2 linked regions of the Alligator mississippiensis genome follow. The protein of the gene in region 1 purifies or fractionates together with the protein of each later gene. This does not show direct contact. Links are inferred from orthologs where the notes say so. Each region holds a gene or a part of one and is shown on either strand. Other genes may lie near its edges.

The links. Proteins that work in one complex are often made in the same cells at the same time.
Region 2: the proteins of SERBP1 (region 1) and PRMT1 purify together in Homo sapiens (affinity purification with mass spectrometry; 3 studies listed by BioGRID and IntAct, with this or other methods). This does not show direct contact. The link is inferred for Alligator mississippiensis from reciprocal best matches to the Homo sapiens genes SERBP1 and PRMT1.

Annotation. Positions count from the first base shown.
Region 1 is NC_081828.1:18,225,920-18,233,501, forward strand, and holds the start of SERBP1 (SERPINE1 mRNA-binding protein 1), read right to left. Parts: upstream 3,018-7,582; 5' UTR 2,916-3,017; coding exon 2,525-2,915; intron 1-2,524. UniProt on the Homo sapiens protein: Ribosome-binding protein that promotes ribosome hibernation, a process during which ribosomes are stabilized in an inactive state and preserved from proteasomal degradation.
Region 2 is NC_081828.1:40,022,368-40,030,047, reverse strand, and holds the start of PRMT1 (protein arginine N-methyltransferase 1), read left to right. Parts: upstream 1-4,673; 5' UTR 4,674-4,726; coding exon 4,727-4,756; intron 4,757-5,760; coding exon 5,761-5,814; intron 5,815-7,515; coding exon 7,516-7,617; intron 7,618-7,680. Other genes in the region: BCL2L12 (bcl-2-like protein 12), read left to right, coding at 1-172, 1,176-1,588, 2,023-2,184, 2,262-2,368, 2,833-3,038, 3,438-3,687. UniProt on the Homo sapiens protein: Arginine methyltransferase that methylates (mono and asymmetric dimethylation) the guanidino nitrogens of arginyl residues present in proteins such as ESR1, histone H2, H3 and H4, FMR1, ILF3, HNRNPA1, HNRNPD, NFATC2IP, SUPT5H, TAF15, EWS, HABP4, SERBP1, RBM15, FOXO1, CHTOP, MAP3K5/ASK1, MICU1 and NPRL2.

The DNA of each region.
Region 1 (7,582 bases):
GTATAAGTAAATTGCTCTAATGCCCAATCAAACTACATAATAAATTCTAGATCAAATCAGCAGGACAGCCTTAATATCTGAGGAGAAAAAAATATCTTTCAAGCACCTACACTGAACACCTTCAAGAGAAAATTGGATGCTTATCTTGCTGGGATCCTATGACCCCAGCTGACTTCCTGCCCTTCGGTCGAGGTGCTGGACTCGATGATCTTCTGAGGTTTCTTCCAGCCCTAGTCTATGAAATCTGGCTTTGAAAATAGTAACTTTTCTCTGAGAATAGCTACCATAATTATTTTGCAGGATTCTGTTTACACTTCAAGTACTGGGAATTTAACTATACTCTGTGTCCTCTTATTAAAAGAACACTGTGATATTTTATATCTTTCCCCAACTGAGCAAACCCCTATCAAGCAAGCAACATATGTGGGTGGGGTTATAGCCACTGCATTTGTAATGATCTCCATCATGTCAAACACCCAAATGAACAATGGCTTCCCTGCTCTAGAAACACTATCCAACATTAGTTTAAATAAATAAATAAATAAAGCTTCTTGTTAAATAATCTGCATGAAATGGATTTACTTTGTAAAGTAGTACTAACTCAGACTTGAAATGAACCCAGATCTCGTGTCCCAGGCCAGTACCTTACAAAAAAATCCTTATTTGTTGCCTTATCAACTACATTCATATCTAGGTTATATATTATAAAAGTATGCAGAGCTCACCAACTGAAAAGCTGCCATTCTTTTGACTAACACGTGGGCAATTTAGAAAATTTCATGACTGGTGAGTCGACACATTTGTATTCATGAATCAAACTTATAAAATAATGTTTATCCATCCATTTTGTCCTTGCACTAGGGGGAACAATAATGAAAAAAACCAAACCAAAAAAAAAAAAAAGCAGGGGGGGATCACATAAAATTAAAACTGAATTCTCAACTACTACATCTCAACAAATCTGAAACCATCTTTATGTATTCTAGCAAACAGACCTGCCCTTTTCTGATGTCTTCAATTGCAGCAAAAAGGCTCAAGTTACTAGTCATTTTGGAGGCACAAGAAAGTTGAAATAAAGAAAACAGAGCTTTTTCAACATGGGAGTTGTCCAAATAAACATCTCAAAGTTTACAATGTCAACCAGGGGTCAACACAAGTACAATCGGTGTGGCAGCAGTCTGTCTTCCCTCCTCATAAATTTTCCCCCACCACTTAATAACTATCAATCATGTTTTGTACCATTTATTCCACTTTTAAGAACACCAAAGCTCTGAACTGGTCTTAAGCCCCCAGCTCTGAAGTAGAGAATACCCACATGATAATAAATTATGCTCCCTTTCTGTTTCTCAGTTTTGCCTAACACAAAATGTTTTCCTTAATATTTTCCTGGATAAAATGTTTTGAAGTGACAGGTTTTATTAGAACTGTTCACCTTTTTTCAAGCAACAGAAAAGGTCCGGAGGATCATTTTCCAACATGATGTATTGAAGGGAAGTGGAATATGAATGTCATGCTTTATATCAATTCTACTTTTCTACTCTAAAGATTTTTGAAGAGGCTTCTTCATCTCAGCTACATTGCAATCACCTTGCTTCCTTCTCCAAATATCATGGCACTTTCAAGACACTAAAGCAGCATTTACAGTAAATGTTCCAAAATGTGTCCACAACCCTGAAAATACCTAAACATATGCAAAAGGGCAGTCCCATTGTCTGCTACGAAACAAGGCCCATGCACAAGATTTAGCATGTGCTCACACAGTGCTGCACCATTAGTTTGGATATGAAAAGTAACTCATTTAATTTTGCTCCATTTTATTCCCTTCGCTTGTTCCTATAAGAAGTTACGCTCCCCCACCCGCCCATTAAACGGTTGCGTGCAACGTCAGCGAACGATGCTTATACACGTGCGACGTCAGGGAACGATGCATCTGAAGAACGCAAAGTTATTAACATTCATCCCATTCAAAGGAACCTCAAGCCAGGCCACAAGCCAGTTTCTACAACCCTCAACCAATTGGGGGGGGGGGGGGGGGGGGGGGGGAACCTGTTAAAAAAAAAAAACAAAAAACAAAAAAAAACGAACAACCCACCAACCAAATCCCCCACAAAAACCCCACCCCTCCCCCAACAAGGCAGCTTCAATCCCGGGCTGTTAATCCCCACAACCCCTTGAGCGGACTCCAGGCCTCGTTTCTTGGCAGCTCTTTCCCAGCGAGGATTTCCCCATCCCCAGGCTGTTCGCATGAGCGGGCTCGGGCTCCACCACAGCAACAGCGGTAGCAGCGGACAAGGCATGAAGAGACCGACTCCATTTTGCGGCACCTGCAAGGAGGCGGCGGCAGGGCCCGCACGTGGCCCGGGAGCCACCGGCTGCACTCGGGCAGCTCCCAGGCACCCGACCCCGGCCCAGCAGCCGGGGCTCCCGCCAGGCCAGTCCTCCCCCCCGCGGGAAGCCGCCGCCCCATCGCCGCGCTGCAGGCCCGAGGCCGCACGTGGGTGGGCCCCGGCGCCTCCTCGCTCACCTTCCTTGCGCAGCGGCGCGGCGGGCTGGGCGCTGCCCTCGTCCCGGCGCTCGGCGGCGCCCCCGGGCGCGGAGGCGAAGGGCGGCAGCGGGTTCTTGCGCTCCTTCTGCGACTCCCTGCGCAGCTGCTTGGCCGCGCTGCCCGGGCCGCCGCCGGCCCCCGCCTGCCCCGCGCCGCCGCCGCCGGCCCCGCCCGACGAGTTGGCCGGCGCCCCCGGGCCGCTGCGGGCCCCGCCGCCGCCGCCGCCCCCCTGGCTGCTGCCGCCGCCGCTCTCTTTCCGGCGGGTCTCGGCCGCCTGCAGCACCTCGAAGGGGTCGGACTCGTCGTCAAAGAGCTGGTCGAAGCGGTTGGTGACGACGCAGCCGAACCCTTCCTGCAGGTGTCCGGGCATGATGGGCCCTTGTCGGCGGGATGCTCCTCCGATGCTGCCCAGGCCCCGGACCCCTGCCCGCGACCGCACAAGATGGCCGACCCTGAAGAGACCCGCTTCTTTTCCGGCGCCGGGAACATCCGGGGCCCGGCGCCCGCCCGCGCGGGGCACGACGGGAGCGGCAGGCGGCCCGCGCCGCTGGCAGCCCGTGCGCGGGGCGGGGCTGGACTACGCTTCCCGGCGGCCACCGCGCCGTCGTTGTGCAGGGGGCTGGCCAGGCCGCGCCTGCGCACTGGCTCCGGGCCCCTTTGCTCGCCCGCCCCGGGAGTTGAGCCACGTGCGGCCGCCCTTGGGGACGCCTAAGAGTGGCGGTGTCGCGCAGGCTCCAGCCTGCAGCTGTGGGGTGGGGAAGCATTAAAGGACTAAAATACGGAAAGGAGGGAGCGGAATGTGCAATGAAACCGGATAAGCGTCTTTGCAATCTGCGACATGTTTCTCTGCAAGGGACGGAGGCAGCCCCTATCCAGACCCTAACCCCAGGCCAGCAAGACATAGCGCCCCAACCCGCCACCGCTCAAGCAGGGGAACCGCAGCTCACGCTGGCAACAAGTGAGAGTCGACCAAGTGAGAGGGGAGTGGCCGCTTGCTTTGTACCTCTCGTCACTTAAAAAAGTCCATATCCTCATCTACTTTTAGATAGGCATGCAGAGAGATGCAGCTGATTTCAGGAGTCTTCCTGAAAAATAAAAATACTTTTGAAAAATAAAAGTTCCCCTAGTGTCCTTAAGGACACACAGTACTACTTAAAAAAAAGCCACAAAACCATTTGGCATTTGTAGGATTTAGTTAAGGGATTAGTCAGACTGGCCACTGCATATTTACAAATTTTAGGGAAATATATTATCATCTGCATAGGAAGCCATTCTAACTTGCATAAACTTAGGTAGCATTTAAGAATATGGAGTAAAAGCAAGCAGCACAGATCTGTGATTAGACCAACATGCATTTTTATATGTTGATATGTTCAGATCAGTTTTACTATACATTGACCCTTGTATTTCTGCCTGAAACCACTTAAGGTACTTTCTAGTCAGTGTAGAAACTCAAATTTAGTTTTTTTGTTCTTTGTTTGGTTTTTTTTTTCCCCCAAATAAGGTTTCTCTTTGTTGTAAGGCTGAAAGTACTGTGAAACAAGGGATCAGGTGTCTTGTGGTTATCAAATTTTTTAGCCCAAACCTTTTAAAATAAAAAGTCTCCTTTTCTCTCGCATGCAAATACATATGAATCCAATAGTGGCACAGTAGCCATTTTCAGGGTGTTTTCATATTTAGGGGATAGGGTTTGGGGTGGGGGATGACAATCTTGAGCTACAGATTACTGTTAACTGCTGCTTGATTTAGAGACTCAAAAGGGTTCTTACACAATTATGATAAAAATCGAGTGAGAATCCTAGAAGTAATGCAGGTAAAACAGGAAGGGCCAACTCCACGTGAAGTATTGGCTTGAACATTTGAAATCTTATTTAATAATTAGGGAGTAAACATGGTCAGATGAAAGTGCTGAAGAAGGATGTTCCCAGAGATGGAAAGGTGCATCTATGCTGTGCTAGATACAAGGTCATTAAAAAACTACATCTATATGCTGTCTCTGACAGCATAAAACACACCATTTATGGGATAACCTGCCCTGTACAAGTCTCCCTCTGGTCTCTAATTTAAATTAGAGACTAGTTTAAGCAGTAATGCACAAGGTTTAGTGGTCCTTCCAAAAGTTTTACAGCAATTCTGACAGGCTGGGTGTTCATTAACAACTAGAGATAGCCAATCCATTTTTAGTACTAAATTCTTGGCTCTATTAATGTCTTGGGGCAATACCTTTCATAGATTAACCAAGTTGTGTGAGAAACTATTTGTTGGTTCCAAATTTCCCACCCTTAGATTTAACTCAATGTCCTACTGTTCTTGAGACAGGGAAAGGACCTTCGTACTAGAGATGTACAAATCTCTTTCAAAAGCAGTAGCAGATGAAAAGATAAGGGCACCATGTCCATCACCCTTCAAAGCAATTATGTAACTCCACATCAGGATTTCAGGAAGTGATCCAAGTTAAATGACCAAAATGAGTTACCATCTGCTTGGGTCCTCCGTCTGTCAAATATATGGGTGATCTCATTCTGTGACCTGGGGAATGGCTATCGATATCAGCCACAAGCACTCACTATAACTGGTTGAATTGAAATCCTAAGAACAACTGATGATAAAGACATGGAGGCTGAGTTCTTGGTTATGGGAAGGGATTTGTTTAGATCAGGGTGGTCAAAATGATGGATCTGACCAGTACCAGACTCCATGTCCCAGCAGCCCCTGCCTGCATTGCTGTGGCCAGTTTCCAAGGAGATGCCAGCAGCAGTGGGACCTCAGGGCCAGGGTTTCCATGGAGACTGGCTGCAGCAACACTGGCAGGGCACACAGCTGGCAAGGAGCTACTATGAGGCCAGGGCTGGGATCTTGCAGCAGTGACAGCATGGTCCGGAGCCAGGGCAGAGCCATGATCCACAGCCTGCACATCCCTGCCCCAGGTATGGGGGCAGCAGATCGCAGTTCCGCCCTGGCTCCAGACCATGCCATCACCAGCGCAAGATCCCAATCCCAGAGCAGCTCCCCACCCAGCTGCATGCCCTGCCAGTGCTGCTGGGGCTGGTCTCCATGGAAAGAAACCCTGGCCTCACTGCTGCTGGGGTCTCCATGGAAACTGGCCGCAGCAACACAGGCAGGGGCTGTAGGGAAATGAAGGCCACTACAGGCCTGATATGGCCTGCAGGCCAGGCTTTACCTGCCCCTGATTTAGATAGAGAGATTCTCCAGTCAATTACCTTTGGTCGTAGTTTTTCGTAGCGCACAGCCAATAAGAAAAGTTTCTGGGCACTTCTTATATAAATCTTCAGGATACAGCACTGTTGTAGAGCCACTTAAACTGCTGCCTTGGCTCACAAGTGTGGTTCTCTTCAACCCCGCTTTGCAATACTGAAGTTCATAGCTCCAGAACTGCTCTCTGGTGTACTCACACCATCTATAAATAAAGATATTAAAAAGATTATAAAATTGCCTTGTTCCCACTAGGATTGTCACACACGTTTTCCAAACATAGATGTGAACAAGTCAATTTAAAATTATACCCCAAGTGTTGTGGAGTAGGCCTTAGACAAGACTCGTTAAAATAAAATATCTTCTTAGAAGTAAATTCAGAGAATATTGTGATCATTCACTAATTCTGTTTAAGAGGAGAGAAAGGCTTCTGGAGGTTGTACACTTTAAATTTTGGGGCCTTTTTTTTGTCCCCCTGCCCTCCCCCCAACTGGGTTACATTCATATTTTAGGTACATTCTACAGATCTACTGACCCAACACTGACATTGCCCAACATAGATGAATGAAGTGTGGTTTAAACTCAAAACATTAATTCAATTCTATAGAAAAAGGACAAAAAACATGAATCCATAAATTCTATAATTCACCATTTTCAGCACCTGCAAATTTCCCACTAATTCTGACCATAAAAAATATTGCAATATCTAAATTAGAATGTTGACACATGCCTAAAATGTCACCTTGTTTGACTGCGGTTGCTTAAAAAAAATAAAAAAATAAAAAAAATTTAAAAAGCAAAGGGAAAGTCCTTGCACAACATGTTGTGGGGATAGGCATCTTACCTTTCAATAACAGAACAGAACAGTTTTGGTAATATAGGAGCACTAGTTGGTTTCTAACCTAAATTCAGGAAACTTCACTCACCAAGCGTCCTGTTTAACTTAGTAACTTTTACTTAATTTTAGACCACGTCAAGTACAGCGTAGCAGAAGTGACTTGGATGTTTACAGGCCAGCGATCATCACTCCCCAACTCCTCCTCAGTATTGCAACTTAAGGTTGCTTAACATTTCCCTGGGGCAATGTGGCCACTGGAAGTTCAAGTCCACATCGTTACCCTATCCATTTCTTCTTGCTGTCTGCTCTGGCAGTCCAGAGCTGGAATATTCAAAGATAAATTTAAATAAGGTGCTTTGGCTAGTTGCCCAGCAGACAAGTCAATAGTCCGCTGGAGAAAAATTATCAGGAGGCAAAATTATGAGTAGAAGAGGATTGGACATTGCCAGGTTTCTTGATAGTCGTTTCCTGCAAGAGGATGTAGGAGAATATTCAGCCAAAAACCATCCACTAGTTGGAATATGTTTGTAAAAGGCTCTATATGGGGTAGAAAGGGTCAGGGGCTTACCTCTCATTAGCGGTTATGTTTTTTCACATGTAGCTGGTTACTGATTGCTTAGACCGACATCCGGCACAGCAGCTTTCAACCAAGCAGCAAGTGAATGCCATTTTGCTATACAATTTATTGAAATGGGTTAGGGAGGCCCGACCCCATCCAGCAGTTTCTAGCACTTGGGCTTGGTTTTAGCCACTAGGCTGCACTGCCACTTTATCTCAGGGTTTGTCTACATCAGGGCTGTCTAACTCCCAAGTGGCCAGTGACTATATGCCCCACACCACAGAGGAAGCACTGTAGGGGCCATAGGCCCTCCAAGCTACACGCCCCACACACATGTGCAGGTGGGTACTCTCCCCTCCACTACATCCCACAGGCAGACAGGTTCCCTCCACCCCACTGCACCACCTTTGTTTGTGTGTGTGTGTGT
Region 2 (7,680 bases), about 22 Mb from region 1:
CCCCCCCCACAGGCTGGGCCATGGCGGGGGCCCCAGCGCCACCCCGTCCGCGGTGCCGAGTGCAGGCCGAAACCCGGCTGGTGCTGGAGGCATTTCTGCAGGGCCGGGGAGGCGCGGGGGCCCCCGGGCATGTGGGGCGCAGCTACCACGACCCCCAGCGCTACGCACACAGGTGAGGGGACACGGGGGGGGGGTCTGGGGCCGGGGCTAGGAAACCTCGGGGGTCTTTAGAGGCGGGTGATGGAGGGCAAACCCAGGAGCCGGGCAGGGGACTGTGGGGGGTGGAACTATGGTATAGGGGGCTCTGCAGGGAGTGTATTATGGGGGGCTCTACAGGGGCTGGGACCCTAGAGGCACCTTGGTGGTGGGTGAGGGGGGCTCTGAGCAGATCTGCAGGGGCAGGGGGGACCCTAGGAGCATCCACAGCAGTCTGAGGGGGGGCCCATGGGTATGCACTGAGGTTGGGGGAGTGGAGGAAGCCCTACAGGTATAGGGGTATATGGGGTAGCTGGGGGGGGGGGCACAGAGTTATGGGGGTGTATACGAGTAGCTATGGGGCACAGGGCTGTGTGGGTGTGTAGGGTAGCTGAGGGGAACAGGGCTATGGGGGGCCCTAGAAGTCTAGGGGTATATAGATGTAGTAGGGGGTGGGAACAGGGTTGTGGGGGGAACCCTAGAGGTATAGGAGTGTATAGGAATAGCTGCGGGGTTTATAGATTTATGGGGAGCCTCAGAGGTATGGGGGTGTATAAAGATAGCTGGGAGGACACAAAGGTATGGAAGGACCTTAAAGGTGTGGGGGGCCCTAGGGCTGTGGTTATGTTTGGGGTAGGTGGGGGGCATAGTCATATGGGGGGCCCTAGAGGTATAGGGGTAGCTGGGGGGCACAGGGCTATGGAGGTAGCTAGGGGTGTGGGGGTATATGGGGGCACAGAACCATTGGGGCATGGAAAGGTAGCTGGGGGGCACAGGGCTATGGGGGTGTATAGGGGTAGCGGGGAATATGGGGCAGCTGGGGGGCACAGTTACGGGGTGTATAAGTGTAGCTGGCAAGCATGGGAATAGCTGGGGGAGGCACAGCTATGGGGGAGTGTGGGGATGCCAGGCGTGTCCACAGGGATGGAGGGGAGCTGGGAGGGGTCTCTGGGAAGACTGGCCATGCCCATACCCCCCAGGCCCCTGCCAGAACAAGCCAGCACTCCCGGGGGGTCCCTGCGCCCTGGCTCCTGGACCCCCCTGCACGAGGACATCAACCGGGTGGAAGAGCGCAAGCACGGCTTCAAAACCAGCGTGAAGAAGCTGCTGCAGCGTCGGGCCAGCCCCCGTCACAGCCCCCCTGGCCCCCTGCCTGCCCGTGGAGACTCCCTCAAGAGGCAGAAGGGGGGCGAGGGGGAGGAGGGGGGGCGCCGTCGGTACCCCCGCTCCTTCTCCTTCAAGGGGTTGCTGCGGAGGAAGGGCCTGGCCCGAGAGGAGCAGGATCCCCATCCCCCCCCATCCCCCTCCTCGCTGCGCCCCACCTCCCTGCCTGTCACCCCCTGCTACTGCACGGACCTCCCTGCACTGGGACAGCAGGATCCCACGGCACAAGGTAAGGGGCCCCAGAGACACTGGCCAGGAGGAAACCCAGGTGTCCTAAGGCTCTAGGTCCTGTTCCTCTCAGAGTAGGGAGAAAACCCAGGCATCTGGGGAGTCCCTGGTGCCCTGACCAAACCCACCCAATGTGGACCCAATGTGCTACCCAGAGCTAGGAGGGAACCCAGGTGTCCTGGCTCCCATCCCCCCTCCCCCGTCTAACCTACCAGAACTCACTCAGCCCCCCAGAGCCCCTACACTACATCATTGTGCTTTCTGGGAGCTGGGGGAAGAACCCTAGACACCCTGGCTACCAGCCCCAACTTTATCTCACCAGACCCCACTCACATCCTAGAACTAGGAGAGGACCCCCATGCTCTCCGCAAGCTGGTGGGAGAGTCCAGATGTCCTCGCCCACAGCCCCCTGCTCTAAACAGCTCTGCCCCCCAGGCCAGCCACCGCAGGACCCTGCTCTCTATGCCCAGGCAGCCCAGAAGCTGGACAAACTGCTGAAGCAGCAGCAGCTGAATAGCCCTGGGAGCGCTAATGGGGCTCCCTCCCCCAGGCTGGGGGCCAGGACCCCCGGTGTCCAGCTGGGCATCAGGCACTCAGGTAAGCTGCTACCTGGGGCAGGGGCTCCCTGCCCTCTGGCGGAAGCCAAGTGCTCACAGGCCTGTCTTTGCCTCCAGCTCCGACAGACCACTCCTCGGAGACTGCCAGCGAGCAGCACAGGGAGCAGGTGATCCAGAGACTCATCAGCCTCCTGGAAGAGCAGGCTGAGGACATCAATCGGGAGGTACTGGCCTAAGCCCCTGCACTTGTCAGCCAGTGCCCCTCACTCCTGACCTGCAGCCCCCTGTGCCTTCCCTGGTGCTCCTCCTGCCCCACAGACTGCCCCCACCCCATGCCACTCAAGCCCAACCTCCACAAACCCAGCACAGGGCCCCTCCCCAGCCCTGTCAGTTTTCCCACACCTGAAGCCCCCTACTTCCCCCAAGTCCTAAGAGCCACTGTTATGCCCTCCCTGCAATCCTTTTCCCTAGCCCTGACAATTCCCCTCACTCCTGACCCACAGCCCCCTTTGCCCTCCCCCAGTGCCCCTTACTCTGGACCTGCAACCCCTGCTCCCCCCCTGCCCAGCCAGTGCCCCTCATTCCCAGCCTATAGGACCGTGCCTCCTCCAGGCCCTCGCTCCCGAACCGTATCCCCCTGCCCCCCCCCCAGCCCTGCTGATGCTATGACATTTCCCCTCACCCGCAGATGGAGACAGACCCCGTGCTGCGCAGCACCTTGTCCCGCATGTCCTTCCACGGCTTCTCCCAGCTGGCCGAGGCCTTCGCCGCCCGTGCGCCCCCCAGCAGCCCCAGCCCCCAGCTCACGCGCCTGGCACTCACTATGGAGCTGACCCGGAGAGTGGCTGGGATCAGCAACCATGCGGTGCAGACCCTCATGGGCTACAGCCTCCAGTACATGGAGCTCTTCGTGCCCTGGCTCCAACAGCAGGGCGGCTGGGTAGGGGGGCCAGGCCGGCCTGGGGAGGGGGCTTTGTGATGGGGTGGGATTTACATGGGGGACTGGTAGGGGATGGGAATTATGTGGGGAGGAGGGATCGCCGTGCCAGGGAAGGGGCAGCTGGGTTGGGCTGGGGAGACCAGGGGCCATAGGTTAAAGGGACACTTGGTCAGAGGGGATTGGGTGTGGTGGCCACATGGGGGGAGGCGGGGGGAAACTGTATGAACTAGGGGGCCAGGCTACAGTGGACATGGAAGGAATCTAGGGGCTGTCTGTGGGCCATGCTTGGGGTGGGAGCTGTTGGTCTATCTGGGCTGGGCCTCCCCCCTACAAGCCTCCTCCCCACCCCACAGGAGAGCATCGTGGGACAGGATGAGCTCTTCGACCTCCAGCTCGACTAGGGGGAGGAGGCAGGATGCAAGTTGGGTTGGGGGGAGGGGAGCTGGCCATCCACCCCCCAGAAGCCACCGTGATGGGGTGGCCCCCTATCTATGGGGAGGCCCCCTGGCATTCTCAGGGTACATCCAGCTGGAGGGGACCCCAAAACAGATACCTTCCCTGGGGCCATGGAGGGCCCATTGTGACCTCTTATTAAACATTTAAAAAATATTTTTAACAAAGTTCTTGATTGCTCCGGACCCTTCTTGTCCCACCTGCATCCCTCCATGGGGAAGCAGCAGGGCAGCTGCAGCCACTTCTGGGGAGGGAGTATTGTATTGGACCTCCCCCCCCGGCCTGGGGCTGCGATGCACCTGTGGGAGGGATGGCAAGGGGTCCCCCAGGGTGGGGGGGCAGAGGGGTAGCGGAGGAAGAGCGTGAAAGCATGGTATTCGCTACCTACAGAGGGGAGTGGGGGCTGGGGCTGTACCTGACAGGCATACTCTTGAACATTTCAGCGTGGGGGGGCGACCCCAGGCACGGAGAGCGCCTAGCCGATTGGTTGCATTCTCCCCAGCGGCTTACCAATGAGTTTGTTACTAGGGCCTCGGTTAGGGTTGAGGGGGCGGGGCCAGTTTTTGACTGGCAAGGCGACTGGCCAATGGCTGCGGTGGCGGGAGTGGGGGCTAGAGTGACGTATCAGGTCACCAATGGGATCGCAGGTTCAATGGGGGGGGTAGGTCCCCGTTAACGACTAGCTCCCAGCCTCTGCCAATGTAATGTTTCACTACGTTTGAGCGACATTACCGCCGCCCACTACAACAGCCACTTGACTGAGGGGGGTGGGACGCGAGCGACTGCTGTTTGCCTCTACCAATGAGAAGTTCCACTCACCGTGAGCGACATCGCTGCTGTCCAATAGAGCCACAGCCTGTGTGAGGGGCGTTGTGAGTGACATTCATCTCGTCCAATAGCCTTCGACCTACACGAAGGGGCCGCGACGGCGAAGCTGAGTGACATCTCCCTCCCTCAACGCCGCTAAAGGGGGCAGGGGCAAAGCCTCACGGTCTCCTCCAATAGCAGTGCCCCTTTGCCTGTGAGGGTGGGGCCCGCACGTTGAGCGACATCTCCGCGACCCAATGGTGGGGACCGCGGCGCGGAGCGGCCAATTGGGGTGGCGGAGGGCGGGCCCGGGCCCTCCCCCGCTATAAGGCCCAAGGGGTGGGGGGAGGGGTACTTGCTCTCCCCGGGCTTCGCACGCAAGATGGCGGAGGCCGCCAACTGCATCATGGAGGTGCGGGCGGGGGGCGCGGGCGCGCGCGGGGCTCCCGGGGGCCGTAGTTGGGGGGGGGTCCAGCCGTGCTGGCCCTCCCCCGCGTGGGGGTGGGGCCGCGGGGGTCCCACGTGGCCCGGGAACAAAGGAGGGGGCGGGGCCCCACGCCCCTCCCCCACCCGGGACCCCCGCGTGGGGCTGGGGGCCGGTGGGGGGCACGGCCCTTTCCCCTTCTTCCCGGTGCCCCGGGCCCACGTGGGGCTGAGCCGCGCGGGCACGTGGCCGGGCCAGGCGGGGGGGTCCATGGGTTTCTCTAGGGCACGTGGCGGGGGACGGCGGATCGCTATTGGGGGTAGGATCAGGGACTCCTTGTGGGGCCAGGCCGGGCGGGCAGGAGCAGGAGGACGTGGCCCGCGGGTGGGATCAGTGTGTTCCTGGGGGGGACAGCATCCAAGGTTCCATCTGGGGGACGTGGCCGGGGGCGGGGGCAGGATCAGGAGGTCGCTAGACGGTTTGGAATAGGAGCAGGAGGTCCCCTTAGGAGACTTCACTGACCCACCCCCCCCCACCTCCCCCGATTGGTTGGTATTGCTGGGAGCTTAGGGGCAAGTTCCCTGGGTCCCTCTAGGAGACGAGGCCTGCCGGGAAGAATCTGTGGGTCGTTACTGGGGGGTCAGGTCAGCCCATCTGTAGGGGACGTGGCAAGAGTAGATTTAGTTGGGTTTTTATTTTGGGGGGGGTTGGGGAGGGCTAGGATCAGCAGGTGTCTGTTATGGGAGGGTGGGGGGCACAAGCCAAGGGGTAGGATCAGTGTGTCCTGGGTCGGGGCGTGCGTGTGCGTGTGTGCGCGTGTGGGAGGCGAGGACAGGAACTGCTCCCTCCCCCTGAGCCTGTCTTCCCATCTTCCACCATCCAGCCCATACCACCTCCCCACCCCCCCTCCAGCTGCCAGGCAGGGGTCCCCTGGCCCTGCCCCCACCAGCCCTGGGCGCTCGGCGCTGACTTTCTCCCTTGCTTTCTCCTAGACGTTTGTCACCACGCTGGCTAACGGGATGAGCCTGCGGACTGCGCTAGAAGATGTAAATATCCTTTCAGTGCGTGGGCCCAGCCAGCCCCCCACCCCCAAATCCCAACTACCACCTTCCCCAGGGGAGGGGATCCCTGCACTCCCCTTGTCCCCATAGTCATACCCTGTCACTACTCCTACAGACCCTTTCTTGTGTCCCACAAATTGTCAAGGTCCCGTGTCATGTCCCGTCCCTCCCCCCCCCCCCCCAACGCGCGACAGACAGACAGTGGCCCTGTCCTCTAGACTTACGGGAGTCAGGAGCCTGGGTGCGTCCCAGCCTCGTGTCCCTTGTGTTCAGGGTCCCATTGCTCAACCCCATCCCCTTTTCCCCCTTCCCTCTCCCCTATGTAGGATGGGAGTGAGGAGCTGGTCAGTGCTGGGGTGGGGGTCTTGCAGGGACAGGCGGTGTTTGTGTGCATGTGTGTGCATGTGGCAAGGAGCCTGGAGCCCAAGCAGGAGCTGCAGGGGGTGAGGCAGGGGTGGCATAGACCCCAGTAGCCTGTATCAGGGGTGGGGGGGACCTCATGGTGTAACAGAAACCCTCACAACATGTAGAGGGAGTTGGGGGGGTGGGGCTTGGTGCAGAGTCCTGCACTGTGGCTAAAGAGGGTCTGTGTAGACTAGTGGGCATAGGAGTGACCCTGCTGGTTGTGGGGGAGACAGCGGAGCGGCCAAGATCAGGCCCCATATAGAGGTTGTGGAGAATTAAGGGAGTTGGGGCTGGGGGGAGGGAAATCCTTGCTCCTTCTAGGGCAGGGGTGGGCAAAATGCGGCCCGCCAGGCCAGTTTATCTGGCCCATGGGGCCCTAAAAATTTAGAAAATCAATATTGATCTTCTCCTGGCTGCCTGTCATGCGGCCCTTGATGGCTTGCCAAAACTCACTAAGCAGCCCTCTGCCCAAAATAATCGCTCGTCCCTGTTCTAGGGGCTGTATTCATTTCTCATTCATAAATTTCCTTAATGTTGCCCTCCTCACCTGCCCCCGCCCCTGGTTCAGCACCCCTGCTGGGGTGGGGGTTCCCCCAGGGGTATTCGGTGCACCCAGGAGTTGGGGTGGGGGGCTAGCAGCACTGAGTCGGGGGTGGGGGTGGAATTTAGGTGGGCCCTGCCCTAGGTCCTTACTGCTACAGCTCCTTCCCTCCCCAGTCTCTGGGGCCAGGGACATTAGGCTGTAGCCAGTGGGGACCCCAGGGTGGGGGGGACAGTGGAGCTCCCCCAAAGCAGTGCCCCAGGGGGCCGGCTGGTGGGACCTGGTGGCAGCAAGGACAAGTTCAGGGCCAAGTCTGTGAGGTGGTGGGGGGTAACTGCCCCTTCCCGCTCCTTTCTAGGGAGACACACAAGGTGCAGAGATCCCCAGAGTGGGCTCTGCTGTGGGTCTGATGGGCACAGCAGGGGAAGGGGACCCAGCCCCACTCTGGTGCGTTGGGGGGGGTATGTGGGACTAGTTGTGCTTGCAGGGCTGACTGGGGGGGTGGAATGTATACTACAGGTTGGCAGGACCTGTGGCTCTGTGGGGTATATGGGGCTGGCTGGGCCTTGTGGGTCTGTTGGGGGGCATGACTAGTATGTACAGGTTGGGTTGGCCCATGGGAGTAAGGTGTGGGCAAGGCAGTGGCTGGGCACGTGCCAGCCATGGGGCCTCAGCCCTGGTTGTGACCACAAGCACGCAGCCTTGGTGCATACGTCTGATCGCTCCTACCCCTCCTGCAGGTTTCGTGCACCCAGCCTGAGGGCAGTGGGAAGCCCCCGGCTGAGGAGATGACATCCAAGGACTACTACTTCGACTCCTATGCCCACTTTGGCATCCACGAGGTCTGGGCGGGGCCCTGGGGTGGAGGTTGGAGGGGGAGGGGTGCCCACTCCAGGTGATGCTGG